Oryzias latipes: one gene and its partners. The protein of the gene in region 1 purifies or fractionates together with the protein of each later gene. This does not show direct contact. Links are inferred from orthologs where the notes say so. Each region holds a gene or a part of one and is shown in the gene's direction. Other genes may lie near its edges.

Region 1 (4,093 bases):
CTGTGGCGAAGAAGCAGATGGGCACGTCAGCGGGGTCCATACCACGTGGACATTTTTGATCTTGTGGTTTTTTTCTGGTTTAGTGTTGAATGTGTTTCTCTGTCACTCTGGGTGTGTCTTTTTTTTTTTTTTTTTAAACAACCTCGAATTAAGGGGAGATTGAAAAGTGTTTGAGTTGGTGGGGGATTTGAAATGTTTTTGAGCTCTCGAAGTGTGGGGCCGTTTTTGAAAAAGCAACAATTGTTTTGTTAACTAATCATACTTGGAGTAAAGGTTTGAATCGTAGTCAAAATACTTGATTGCTATTTTAAAGACATCCAGTTGTAAACACAGTATCACTCCGAAACACCTGATGGACCCAAAGAGCTAAAGCAGCATTATAAAGACTCCAAAACCTATGAAAAATGATGTAGTTCTGTTGGTTTGGTTGAAATTCATTATAATTTATTTTTCTTTTAAATTCCTTCATAGTTTACCTGAATGGTGTCACCTGTGAGATTATTAGGTAAAATCATGCACGTAGTCTGATTCTAGATTCTTGACGTTTTTCTGCGCCGCAAATGAAAATGTTAAGAAATAATGATCCTCTTTATTTTAATTTTCTTCTCTGTTTTGTTGGGTGATTCTGGACGGGTGTTGGTGTTTTTCTGAGAGTATGGATGGTGTTTTTTGATTTAGTTTTTTTCCAATCTGCAGTATTGATAACTTTAATGTCTGAAGTAAGTTTAGTAAATAAATTAAATTTCTCAGGATAAAAATTCATTTGAAACAACTGTTGAGGCAAGCAATTAATTTCCAATATGCAGATGTAGCTGTATGAATGATTAAAGTGTTTTATTCACATGTCTCTTTTTTCCCCCCCAGCTATTTAAAATAAAGATTTATTTCAAAGAAACATTCATTGAAGTGCTTGGAATGACTGCACATAACGGAAATCCAATTTTTTGTTGTGCTTTGTTATTTTAAGGAAGTCATTTAAAGTGTTCCAGCTGAAGACAACAGCATTTAGTTTGCTCATGCTATTTAACTTTTGATAATACCTTAAAATTCAATTATAAAGAGTAACTTGAACATGTGTGTTCAAGAGGTTGGAGGGAAATAGGAATTTTGAACTACCAAACATGTCAGTCTTTATCTTTTATTTATTACTTTTTTATTATTTATGTAGATGTAAGAATGCAAAACTCAAACTTATTCATATTCTAAAATAAACTATTTTAAGTCTGTGTCTGTATGGTGTGAATCGTATCAATGATGTTCCCTATGGTTTCTGAATGCATCACATGCCGGCGCACATTGATGTCGTCATCCAAACGCCGCAGTTCAAACCTAAAACTCGGGTTTGGGACTGTTTTTCAAACAGAAAATAACAACAAAGACAACAGTTACCAGAGTCATGTCAGTAAATTATGCTGCCGGATTGTCACCTTACGCAGATAAGGGGGTCTGCGGCCTTCCTGAGGTAAATTTTGACTACATTAAAGAGCTTTTCATGCTAAATGAGCTAGCAGCTCATCATGAGCGATGTTTTTGTCCTGCTGTTGTGATCCTTCTGCTCTTTTATCTAACAAAACACTTGCTAAGGACCAGCCCCTTGTTTGAAAATCTCTCTTTACATTTTTTTTATTCGTTCTAGTGAGTTTAAATTCCAGCTCTGGTTTAACAAGATAATAAATTATATTGTTTCAAATATAGTTATTCTTGTTGGGATGTTGTATCATATATATCCACAAAATTTGATGGGTGCAAAGTTGTTGTTTTCCTTCATAATAGATTTAAAGCAGCCTTTTACTAATCTGTACTAACGTTCAGCTATGGCTTTGTCCGCCGAACGTGTCACATAAATAGATAAAAGCGTGAAGCTATTCATGAATTCATATCTCGGGACCAACAATCTTAGCAACACATGCATGGATGATTGCTTGTGCTCATTCCTAAAAGGACTTGTTTGTGTCTTCTGGCAGAAGTTTGACAGTCCTGAAGAGCTGAAGGAGAAGGTGCAGACTCTTGCTGAGTTGGTTAAAGAATCTCAGTACCTGGTCGTCCACACTGGAGCTGGCATCAGCACCTCAGCCGGCATCCCTGACTTCAGGTGAGACACGATTCTAATGATAATTCTGTTTTTGTACGCCACATTTGGCTGCTAATGCCAACATCAGACAAAGGCAAACATAGGATATGTATTTTATATGACAGGAAGCGCATCTGTTAATCAGAATAATATTGATTCTTTTGCACACAAACAAATCTATCTAAATATCTATATTTTTCTTTGGGAGCATGTCCAACTATTTTACTTGTTTGATCCTAAAATTCCCTAAAAAGTTACATAAACTACATTAAAAAAAAAACTCTAAACATTCATTAAATGAGCCTATTAAAATCATAGTTAAAACATTTTTTAAACTAATTTCTCCACCGAATCGTACATGATGTGTACATAAAAAAAGGTTGATGTTATCCACACACGATTATGTGACAAGCACAAAAAGTTATGGAAATTTATGTTGGCCACACGTAATGCTTGCAGCCAAGATACATAATGGTGCCTTTTAACCCTTGTGCTATCCTAGGCACTTTGACATTGGGAGTTGGGTCATCTAGAGTCTAGACCCACTAGACAGTGCGCTGAACCTTTTTTTCTTCAATGATTTGTGGTCTTCTCCGGTGTCCATGGATTACATGAAATCTTTCCACTTTTATTCACCTTTGTCACGGTAGGGATAACATGTCAATGGTCATCTTGACCCCGTAGGATAGCACAAGGGTTAAGTGCGTCCAAGGTTGCATTTTGTTGTTGGCCCCAGGTGTTTAAAATGAAACTTAAAGTTACAGTCCCATTATCTGTCATGCACCTAGGTGTGTAAAATATGTTCTCTGCCTTTGATCCATCTCCTGGAGGAGCGGTGAGGTGCAAAAACAGCCGCGCTCAGGAGCTATTTGGTGGTTTAACCCAACCCACAACTGTAATCCTAACCTTAACCCCTGTTCTAGGTCTGTGTGGCCAAGAAAAAAAGCCCAGGGCTGGCCGCACTTATTTCGAAAATGACGTGCAAATAGACCCTTTCCAAAATATACACATATAACTGAAGACAGGCTGGAATAGATCAATATTCATGATTAATCTTAACAGACAAACTAGAATGTTAGTAAATAAAAAAACATAAATGAAATTAACATGACACCATTTTTTATTTCCATTTTAGATGACAACAACAACAGCTATGACCATAGTTCCACTGTAACTATTTGATTCGTATCCTAATTTGTGGTTGCTGATTTGATTCATAGTTGATATAGGTTCATTTTAAATAGTCCGATTCACTGACCTAAAATCGATCTTAAGCCAAAAATTCAACCAGTGAGACTCAGAGATAAATACCTGGTACTGAACAGTGCAGGTGAAGTTTTCCAGATTCCTTGTATTTCTTGCAAGATAATCAAGTGTAAATTAAATATGTGTGCAAACAAAGTTCAGCCCACTGTTGTTTATCTACATCAAAATAATACAAACAGAACATTACTAGAACATTCTACTGTATAGTCACATGACATGGCAAAACTCAAAGTGTTTCCATGCATTGAACTGGAATGATGCACTGATCGGTTTTTGCTGCCATCACATGTGTGTTGTCCATGGTGATTACACTTGATCACTTTTTACGGTATAGTAAAATAAACTCACATTTGCCTCAATCCAAATGGTATTTTCCAATATCAAACTAATTGATTTATTTCATTTAATTTATTTCATTCTTAAATCTAATATTAGGATAAGTAGCAATATTAAAAACATGAACAAAAAAGATACTTTTGTTATTGAAATAGGATGTTTGTCTTTGGGAACCCCTGTCCTAAAAGGTCCAACACACACGACTCAACTCATCAGCTCTAAAAACAAATGGTAATGACTCTTATTTCATTTATTCAGGCATGATAAACAAGTGGAATAAAAAGGAAAACTCAATGCATTTTTAGGGCTCAACGTGGGAAGAAACTTTAATCAACTAACTTTGCTCTTTTGTTAACTATTGTAAGACACTTAAAACAATGCAAATATTAAAATAGTCAGAGTTTTTTTTTTCTATTACTG
Region 2 (4,218 bases), on another chromosome or scaffold:
TTAAAACTCAGACGAAAGAACATCCAGTTAACTGAACATCGTGTCTGTCAGCCTCCATCTTATCTGTTAAACTGAAACCGTTGTTTGCACATTTCCCAGCCTCTTTTTTTAAATTTACCACCAGCTTCAATTATCTGCAGACGGTTCAGCATTTAAGCCAAAGCCACCACATCCATCATCTGCGTCTGAGTGCTGCCTGATTCTGTTTGCTGTCTGTAGGAGCTGTGCAACATCTCAACCAGTCTAACCTTCAATGTTAGGAGCTCCGGCATTCCTTCCCCCATTCAAGACCCAACACTCCAGGTTTTATTCGTTTTCACAAATAAACCCCATGTGTGTTTTTCCCCCATCATTTGAAGAGTATAAATGTTTAAAACGTCTTCCAAACAGTGGGAAAAGTAACCTTTTAGGGCTGCAGCAAACCTGTGCCGAACATGCAGTCCTCTCAGAGCAAACGGCATCCGGCAGCGACCGCTCACAGCTGCTCGTGGTCCCCTGGGAGACGGCAGAGGGAGAGACGCAGCACCCAGTTACCATCTGTACCTGCTCATCCAGCCCTCAGCAGCAAGAATGCACAGCGGCGTGAACCCAGCGTGCCCCAGCAGGAAAAACTCCCCCTGACTCTGACAGAGGAAACAACGGAAGACATCTGTAATTTAATATCAGCTCTTTTTTTTTTTTAAGCTGATGTCTCTGTGCTGACATCATGACAGCCATATTGTGGTTTGAGGCTCAAACATCTGCAGCAGTTTAGTCATGGGATCAGTAGCTCTATGTGTTTAGTTTGTCTTTTTAAAAGATGACTAAAAAGATGAACTTTTCTTTTTCTTTAGTGCACTACACGTTTTTCTTTAGTGCACTACAGGAGCAGACATTTTTCCAGTCTGCTCTGACTGTCTGCAGTCATTTCAGTCTCAATGGCGTTACATTTACCCACCTGCTTATTTTAAAGCTAAAGCACTCTCGCATTCGAACCCCTTTGATTGATGACGGTGGATAATTCTGGATGAAAAATTCACGGCGACCTAAAATCACTGATTCTGAACGCATTTGTCGCCTCCACGCGGTGGACAGCCGCTGGTGCACATCTGTGTAGAGAATCTGCCGGGATACGCCTGTCGGTATAACCATCGCACCCTCTGCCACCGCCGCGCGGTGGTTGGCTCCCTTGGAATAGAGGGAGCTTCGCGATTGGCTGGATGCGCGGGAGGCTTGCCATTCTCTCACCCCATTGGTCAGCGGGTCGTGGATGCGTCATTTCATTGGCTGAAGCTTCTTTATACGGAGGGACGTCAGATTTGGCTGCGGAGGTGAAACCGGTACCCGGGCTCTACAGCACGCCGCGAAGCCGCGCCAGCGCCTCGTCGAAGTCCATAGATTAAAAAATATATTTATACATTTTCCAAAAACTATTGACTCATTGGTAAGTTTTAATGTCAAACCTACTGTTTGAATCCAGGCAGAAAGTGAAACTAGAATGAAAATAGGATTAACGTGGTGGCTCATCCGGGCTCCATCTACATCCTGATGTTAGCTTCCTTTGACATTGTCGCGCGGTCTATAGACGGACGCGCTGAAATCCGATTTAAACGTTTATACTTGCTTTTTAATCGCGATCAGAAGTCCGGAATGGGTTTTTTCCGACATATGTATGAAATTGTTGCTGTTACAAATCACCCACGACGGCTTGGTTTTACTCTGAGCTGCAGGAATTAGCCGCAGCCCTCGTTAGCACACCCCCCCCCCCCTCTGGTTTTTCCAGCTTTCTTTCCTTATTTTTCGTGGGGTAAATTCACCTTTTCCCTAAACAGAGTTAGCTTCGTTTCTACGCGTCTTTGGATGTTAAAAGCGTCATTTTGTGGCCTCGGCGTCGGGATCGGAGCGTGGACGAGCACCGCCCGGGACACGTGCTGGGGCTGCTGAGCGCCCCCCCCCCCCCCCCCCCCCCCCGTCAGAATTCGTCTTTTGGGGTTGGTGGGCCCGTCCAGCTGTCCCGGATTAGATCGGAATGGACCAGGACAGCGCACGACACGTGAATCCCGGTTAAATTTGTCAAGGCCTCGGGGGCGCGTGTCAGCGCGGTCCCGGAAAGAGAGCGCGCGGGTCGGCCGTTTCCGTCGCCGTTCCCGCGGCGTGGTCTTTGTCTGCGGGCCGCGCGTGCAGATCTCCACGCACTTCTGCGGAAGCACGTTAAATGATTGGTCCCGTCTATGTTAGGCCCCTCGCGGATCAGACCCGCGTGACTGCGGGAGCTCCCGGGCCGTTCCGTGTTAAAAATGGCAGATGGCTGTTGGCCGTGAGAACAGATGTCAAAGTGGCTCGTGGCCTTCTGGGCTCAGAGCTTCACCTTTCCCTTCCAGGTCCTCCAAGCCAACAGTTTCCGGTTCTGTCAGCAGAACCTCTGGTGTATTTGAACCCAGATCCGCTTTATGGTGCTGAACTGAAGTGGGAAGAGAAGAATGTGCGTCTGTGGCGGCACGTCTGCTCCCTGAACCGTCCCTCCTGGTTTGTCCGTGAAACCCACTTGACAGAATAGAAGATCAACATCTTCTGATTGGCTGATCCCTCCTGATCCAGGATCATGGCCATGTGCAAAACATCAGGAATATCCTGGAAACCCGGAAGAACCCGTCACTGCCGGGGGGGTCAAACCCTGTAGAATCGTGAAAGCGCTTCCAGGTTCAAGTGGGGATGTATTAAACCCAAAGAACTGTTCAATTAGAGAATCCGGTTTCATCAGGGCAAGATGATCTAATCCACTTGCAGATGAACTCTGGTGTGGTTCACTTCAGTGTAAATGCAAACTGATCGTCCTCTGATTATGGAGAGGCAGGAAGGTTCACTTCTGGCTCAAACCCATTGAAGGAATTCCAGTCGCCTTCTTGTTGTCTTTTTGTGAAACGGACGGCGCCATGTTGGAGGCAGACGTAGAGTTGATCTGAATTGATCGGTGTTTCTATGGCAACCACTCTAAGTGTCAGACTCCAGGCCTCGTTGGCCTGTGTCCCACATGTCTTCCCATCAACTTGAAATTGAAGCTCCTTATTGGCTAAACACACCTGATTTCTGAAAAACCTGCTGGATAACGGCCCTTAAGGCCTGCAGTCTGACTCCAATCAGGAGTGAGCTTGTTGGAAGGCCACGCCCCCACCCATGAAAGCAGGCTTCTTTGGTTTGTGGTTTTGGGATCCCATTTGAAAGATCCTGGTCCATCCTCCATAACATGTAGAAATTCTGGTGACACTTTTCTTTTAGTGAGAAAATAACGACACATTTCTGCTATCTGGTACACATGTATTACATTTATAGGCTTTTTCTACAGAGGAGGATTTCTCTCTTTGGTGTTGAAATTTGCTGATTCAGACTGCGGCTGCTGGTTGCATGATGCTGGAGGATGGTCTCTAACCTCATTCCACATCAGACGGGGGGGGGGGGGGGGGGGGGCATTGTTACTGCACTCGTCCCCTTCCTGGGAAATCATGGCTAATGCTCGCGTAAACAAGAATAAATGCCTCATCTGCAATACTTAAACATTTTTCTTATTTTCTATTCAACGGTTGCCATGGCGTCCAAATACACAATCTGAAACATCTGGGGGGGGGTTTCCCCCTCGTGTTGTGGACCTGGAGCCGTTTCCTGGATCCGAAGTGACTTCAGAACCGTCGCTCACTCAGTCACAGGTTTCGGTTGGTGTGACATTGATCACTCTGGATGAACGTCAGCGATGAAATTCTTTTGTTCTGCTACCTTTGCTAATAAAGGTTTGTTTGAAATTCTCTACTACATTTGAGTGGGAAGCTCGTGTTGCACCTTTTTTCAGAAGTTTCCCCACATTTGGTTGATTAGGGTTTTGTAAGTTGTCGCCAGAGCAACAGAAACATTAGCTAAAGATGAGTCATTTTGCAGCAGTTGTTTAACTTTCCATTTCACGCTCGCTTTGTCCACCCAACGCTTGTTGCCCCCATGCTGCCGTTGGTTCTTGTGGGCGTGGCAGACATCAGCTGTGAACCATGAGATTCTTTTTAGAGGTTCATTGGTCGCTGGGGAGGGCTGTGGGGCTCCCCCCCGCCTGGATAACCACCGCAGCTCAGACGCTCCCTTCTGTTCTTTCTCTGCAGAGAATTCCAGCTGACCAAAGAAATGGTGATGGAGAAGCCAAGTGCCCAGCTGGTCGGGCGAGAGTTTGTCCGACAGTATTACACGCTCCTGAACCAGGCC
Region 3 (4,106 bases), on another chromosome or scaffold:
TGAGTGTAAAAATTGGCCAAACATTTGTGAGTGAGTTTTGTAAATATCATTATGTTGTCGATTAGTAATTCTGAAACGGAATATCAATGTTTCATGTAAAAAAAAAGAAAGAAAATCTTGCTGTGAAAATTTGCTTTTGTGTCCATTACCACGTAAAGATAGGTCTAATCAGTCAAAAGAATAATATGTAACATAAACATATAATTCTACATATTTTAATAGCTGTCACAAACTAACCAAACATTGCACAAGGCATTTACAGTTGAGAGTTTAGAAATGTACTGTTTTAATTGTGCAGTGACAATATATGATATATACAATATATACAAATATATGCCGGAGTACCACCATATTCAATTTGTGTTTACAATTGCTTTTCAACGAAAAAAACACTTTTTTAAACCTGAGACAAACATTTAAGACATAATGGACTGTTGACTTTAAAAAAAAGTAACATTTTTTTCTTTTTTAATTGAAAAGAAAAACTTGGGGGTTACAATATGTGTGGCAGTTGTACAAGGTGTTCATCAAATTAAAATTAGAATGGGCACATAAAAACATGAACAACAATTATAAAATTAAGTAAAAGAATATACGATAACACAAAAAATACAAACTTACATTAAATAAGATTAAAATAAAAAAGGGGTTACATGGGCATTATAATGATCATAATCTTATGGGTTATCAAAAAGCAGTAATTTATTTATGATACTTTGGAGTTTCACGGCAGGTTTATATTCCATGAAGTTTATAGATGAAAAATAAGAGCAGAGTTTTTATGAAATGTGAAAAAATATGGTTTGATTTTAAGGAATCAGCATTTGTGTATTTACCCTGGAAAATTATAACTTTTAAAACCATTTCTGTGTTTATGTTTTCTAATATAAAACCCCAAAATTATGTCCTGAATAGAAAAATCTGCTAAACATGGACTCTTGAGGAAAAGCCAATAATGTGCATTGTTCCAGGAGGCATTAGAGTAAAAACGTTCAAAGAATAAACGCTCAGTTGTTTCAATGTCCTCATTACAAAAAGAACAACAATTTTCAGGAATTCCAAACCGTTTTCTGAGCAATTCATTGGAAATCAGAAACCTAAAAACGTTTTAAAGTGGACTTCTTTGGCTTTAAGAGGTATGGAAAGTTTTAAATATTTAGTTCGTATTTGTTTCTTTTATAAATTATTCTTTCCCCCCCCTTTTGTATTTGTTAACAGACATGTTTGTGTGTAAAAACAAACAAACAAATAAAGTTATTGGAAGGGGAAAAAACGGCGTACGTTGCTGCGTCATTGTCTGACGTCGTGTTGATTTTGAGCGCAGAAATTATGTATTTATAAATTGACGCAAGCGCGCTAAATCTAAAACAAGCTGTACAAAAATGCCAAATTACACAAGTGTGTGGATAAAGTGGCGGCACTCATGAAAGGTTCGAGCATATTTGTTTTTAACACAATAAATTCACATTTTGTCGTCAATTCGCGGTAAAAGGAAGAGGCTCAGCCGGTCGGGCTAGCTGCAGTTTAGCCTTAGCGGGGGGACTTAAGTTGTGAGTTTGATAAAGATGTTCTTGTTCGAGAATCACAATGGTACGAGCTTCGCTTGAGGCTTGGATTAGGCGTTTGTTCACTGGACTTTGTGTTGTAAAGCGTAGCACAATATAAGGTTGCCGGTTCGGCCAGGAAGCCGTACTTTTGTCCTCTGAGAACCAGGCAACTAGCTTAGCTCCGGCTAGCTTATTGGGTTAGCATCCTTGGAAAACCGCCCGATTATTAACCAATTTGCGTAAAAGCGCACAAACACTGGGGATCGTTTAATTGCAGGATAATGGCGCCTCGTGTACAATTGGAAAAGGCAGCTTGGCGCTGGGTGGAACACGTGAAACCAGAAGAAATCACACAGGAGCACATCGAGTTAGCATATCGCATTAACCTCCCGGCCTGCAAAAGAGGAGCCTGCAGGTACACAGCACTCATACTCTGCTCATCATGTGTCTGTCTGTGCATTTGTCATTTTGTCAACAGTTGTGTGAACTTTACTGTCTGCCAAAAAAGGAAAACCGTTTCCAACGAAATGCACAACATACTGTTTAGATTGTCAAGCTAGCTTTTTATGTATTAATTACCATTTAGTTTGGAAACTATACTTATTATTGTTTTCAAATGATCAACAAACGGGAAGGTAACTACTAGGAACTACCGGGCTGTTCATTAATTATTGTTCTACCTACTTAGGAAACACAGAAAATGCATCTTATGTATTCAGCCTAAAAACAAAACAAAATTAAGTTACTAAAAATGTAAAGTTAGTATCAATTAGAAACAAAATGATATTGTTTTTATCCTTGTAAATCAAATATTAAGTAAAATAAAATAAAATTCAATGTAAATGAAATATGGAAAGGGCTGGCCTTGACTGGCTTTGACTTAGACTTTTGAGGTCTGGAAAGCATTGCCTTCATACTACTGAGTGATGAAAGGATTAAATATTTTTAATACCAAATGGTGTTTTATTCAGTTTGTGTTTGTTCCTTTTGTTTTCTCTTTTCTTTAAGAACACAACCCTGTAAAATGTTTCAATTGAAATTAATAAATATTTATAAACACAGAACAAACTCTTTAAAAAAAAGTCCAAATAATATATTTTTTTTAGTATTTCTTTAAAAAAAAAAGACATTTTACTCAGTGAATTGTACATGAAACAATAAATACAGTAAATAAAAGAAGTAATCACTAATGATGTATGTACAAAAAATGTTTTATTAGCATTTATTACCGGGGTTATTTCTTGATTCCTTTCTTTCTGAGTAATTCTGCATTATTTTAAAGTCCTACCAACAGCATTTAAAATAAATTTTAATTAAAAATACTATGTTGATTTTTTGTTTTTCCAGGTTGAATTAAGCCATGGTGTTTTTGTTTTTGTAATTTGGCAAACGGTGTATTTTGACATCAATGTGGCTAATTGTTGGACACAAACACTGCTGTTTGCACAGCTAAAAAGTGCCACGTCAGATTAAACACACATTCCTGTAGAGTCATGCAGATCTCTGTGAATTGAACAACAGCAAGTCTGAGCATTTTGCCCCAGTCTGTGTTAACTTCCTGCTCTTTTAAATGTCTTTGCTATGATGATTCAGCAAACCAACATTCAAAAAGCTGCCATTGTCCCCGCAGGAAAGTAGTTTCCATTGGTGCTACTGGTCTCCATGCATGGAGTCAGTTATCAGATGTTAGGTTTGCTTCATTCCCATTTGCTCTTATAAAGTGTTAGTTTTACAGAGATTATAATACCTTTTGTTTCTTTTTACATGATTTTTGTCTTTGTTATCAGACAGAACAGTGGCTTGGAAACTGACTGAACCATTAAGGCTACACTTTAACTGGTAGTTACTACGTTTATTTGATTCACCAACCTTTGACAGAATTGGTCTTTTGATTCTGGTTGTGTTTGAATTGTTCTTAGGATGCTAGTCCGGTTGGCTCCGGGACAGACGAGGGATGAAAAGCCTGATAGAGGTTAGTTTTGTGAAAACAGGAAATTAATCAGCTGCGTTTACATTTACAGAAGAAATTGCAAAGGAAATCCCAACTGCCTCGTGGGTATTGGTGAACAAGCCTGGCTCGGGGAGATCGATGAGAACACGTTCCACAACATCGATGATCCAAATTCTGAACGGCGAGATAAGGTCTGTCTGTAATCCTCTGCAAATAAGTAGGATTTGATTATCCTGTCTGGATTTCACTTCACTTCCTCTGCCCGTGTCTGACACTTCCCCCTCCAGAACACATTTGTTGGACTGACCAACCTTGGCGCAACATGTTACGTCAACACATTCCTGCAGGTGTGGTTCCATAACCTGGAGCTTCGGAGGATCCTCTATCAATGCCACAATTCACGAGCACAGGAGCACGACACGGACACAGGTGCGTTCAAAAACGTCCACACCAGGACAAACAGCAGCGGCTAAGACTGCAGGTGTAGATGTCTATAACGCTCACAGGGCGCATGTTGGATGACCGCATTTCTGGTTCAATAATCACAGTCACATGCAGAAAAGTTTCACGCTCAAAGAAGAAGCTTGTTAGGAATAAACAGGAAGAGT

The links.
Region 2: the proteins of sirt6 (region 1) and g3bp1 purify together in Homo sapiens (affinity purification with mass spectrometry; 3 studies listed by BioGRID and IntAct, with this or other methods). This does not show direct contact. The link is inferred for Oryzias latipes from reciprocal best matches to the Homo sapiens genes SIRT6 and G3BP1.
Region 3: the proteins of sirt6 (region 1) and usp48 purify together in Homo sapiens (affinity purification with mass spectrometry; 3 studies listed by BioGRID, with this or other methods). This does not show direct contact. The link is inferred for Oryzias latipes from reciprocal best matches to the Homo sapiens genes SIRT6 and USP48.

The regions. Positions count from the first base shown.
Region 1 is NC_019875.2:22,338,138-22,342,230, forward strand, and holds the start of sirt6 (NAD-dependent protein deacetylase sirtuin-6), read left to right. Parts: upstream 1-1,283; 5' UTR 1,284-1,396; coding exon 1,397-1,462; intron 1,463-1,964; coding exon 1,965-2,092; intron 2,093-4,093. UniProt on the Homo sapiens protein: NAD-dependent protein deacetylase, deacylase and mono-ADP-ribosyltransferase that plays an essential role in DNA damage repair, telomere maintenance, metabolic homeostasis, inflammation, tumorigenesis and aging.
Region 2 is NC_019868.2:28,987,342-28,991,559, forward strand, and holds the start of g3bp1 (ras GTPase-activating protein-binding protein 1), read left to right. Parts: upstream 1-1,296; 5' UTR 1,297-1,423; intron 1,424-4,118; 5' UTR 4,119-4,140; coding exon 4,141-4,218. UniProt on the Homo sapiens protein: Protein involved in various processes, such as stress granule formation and innate immunity. Plays an essential role in stress granule formation.
Region 3 is NC_019863.2:19,936,350-19,940,455, reverse strand, and holds the start of usp48 (ubiquitin carboxyl-terminal hydrolase 48), read left to right. Parts: upstream 1-1,287; 5' UTR 1,288-1,430; intron 1,431-1,824; 5' UTR 1,825-1,828; coding exon 1,829-1,962; intron 1,963-3,568; coding exon 3,569-3,689; intron 3,690-3,785; coding exon 3,786-3,927; intron 3,928-4,106.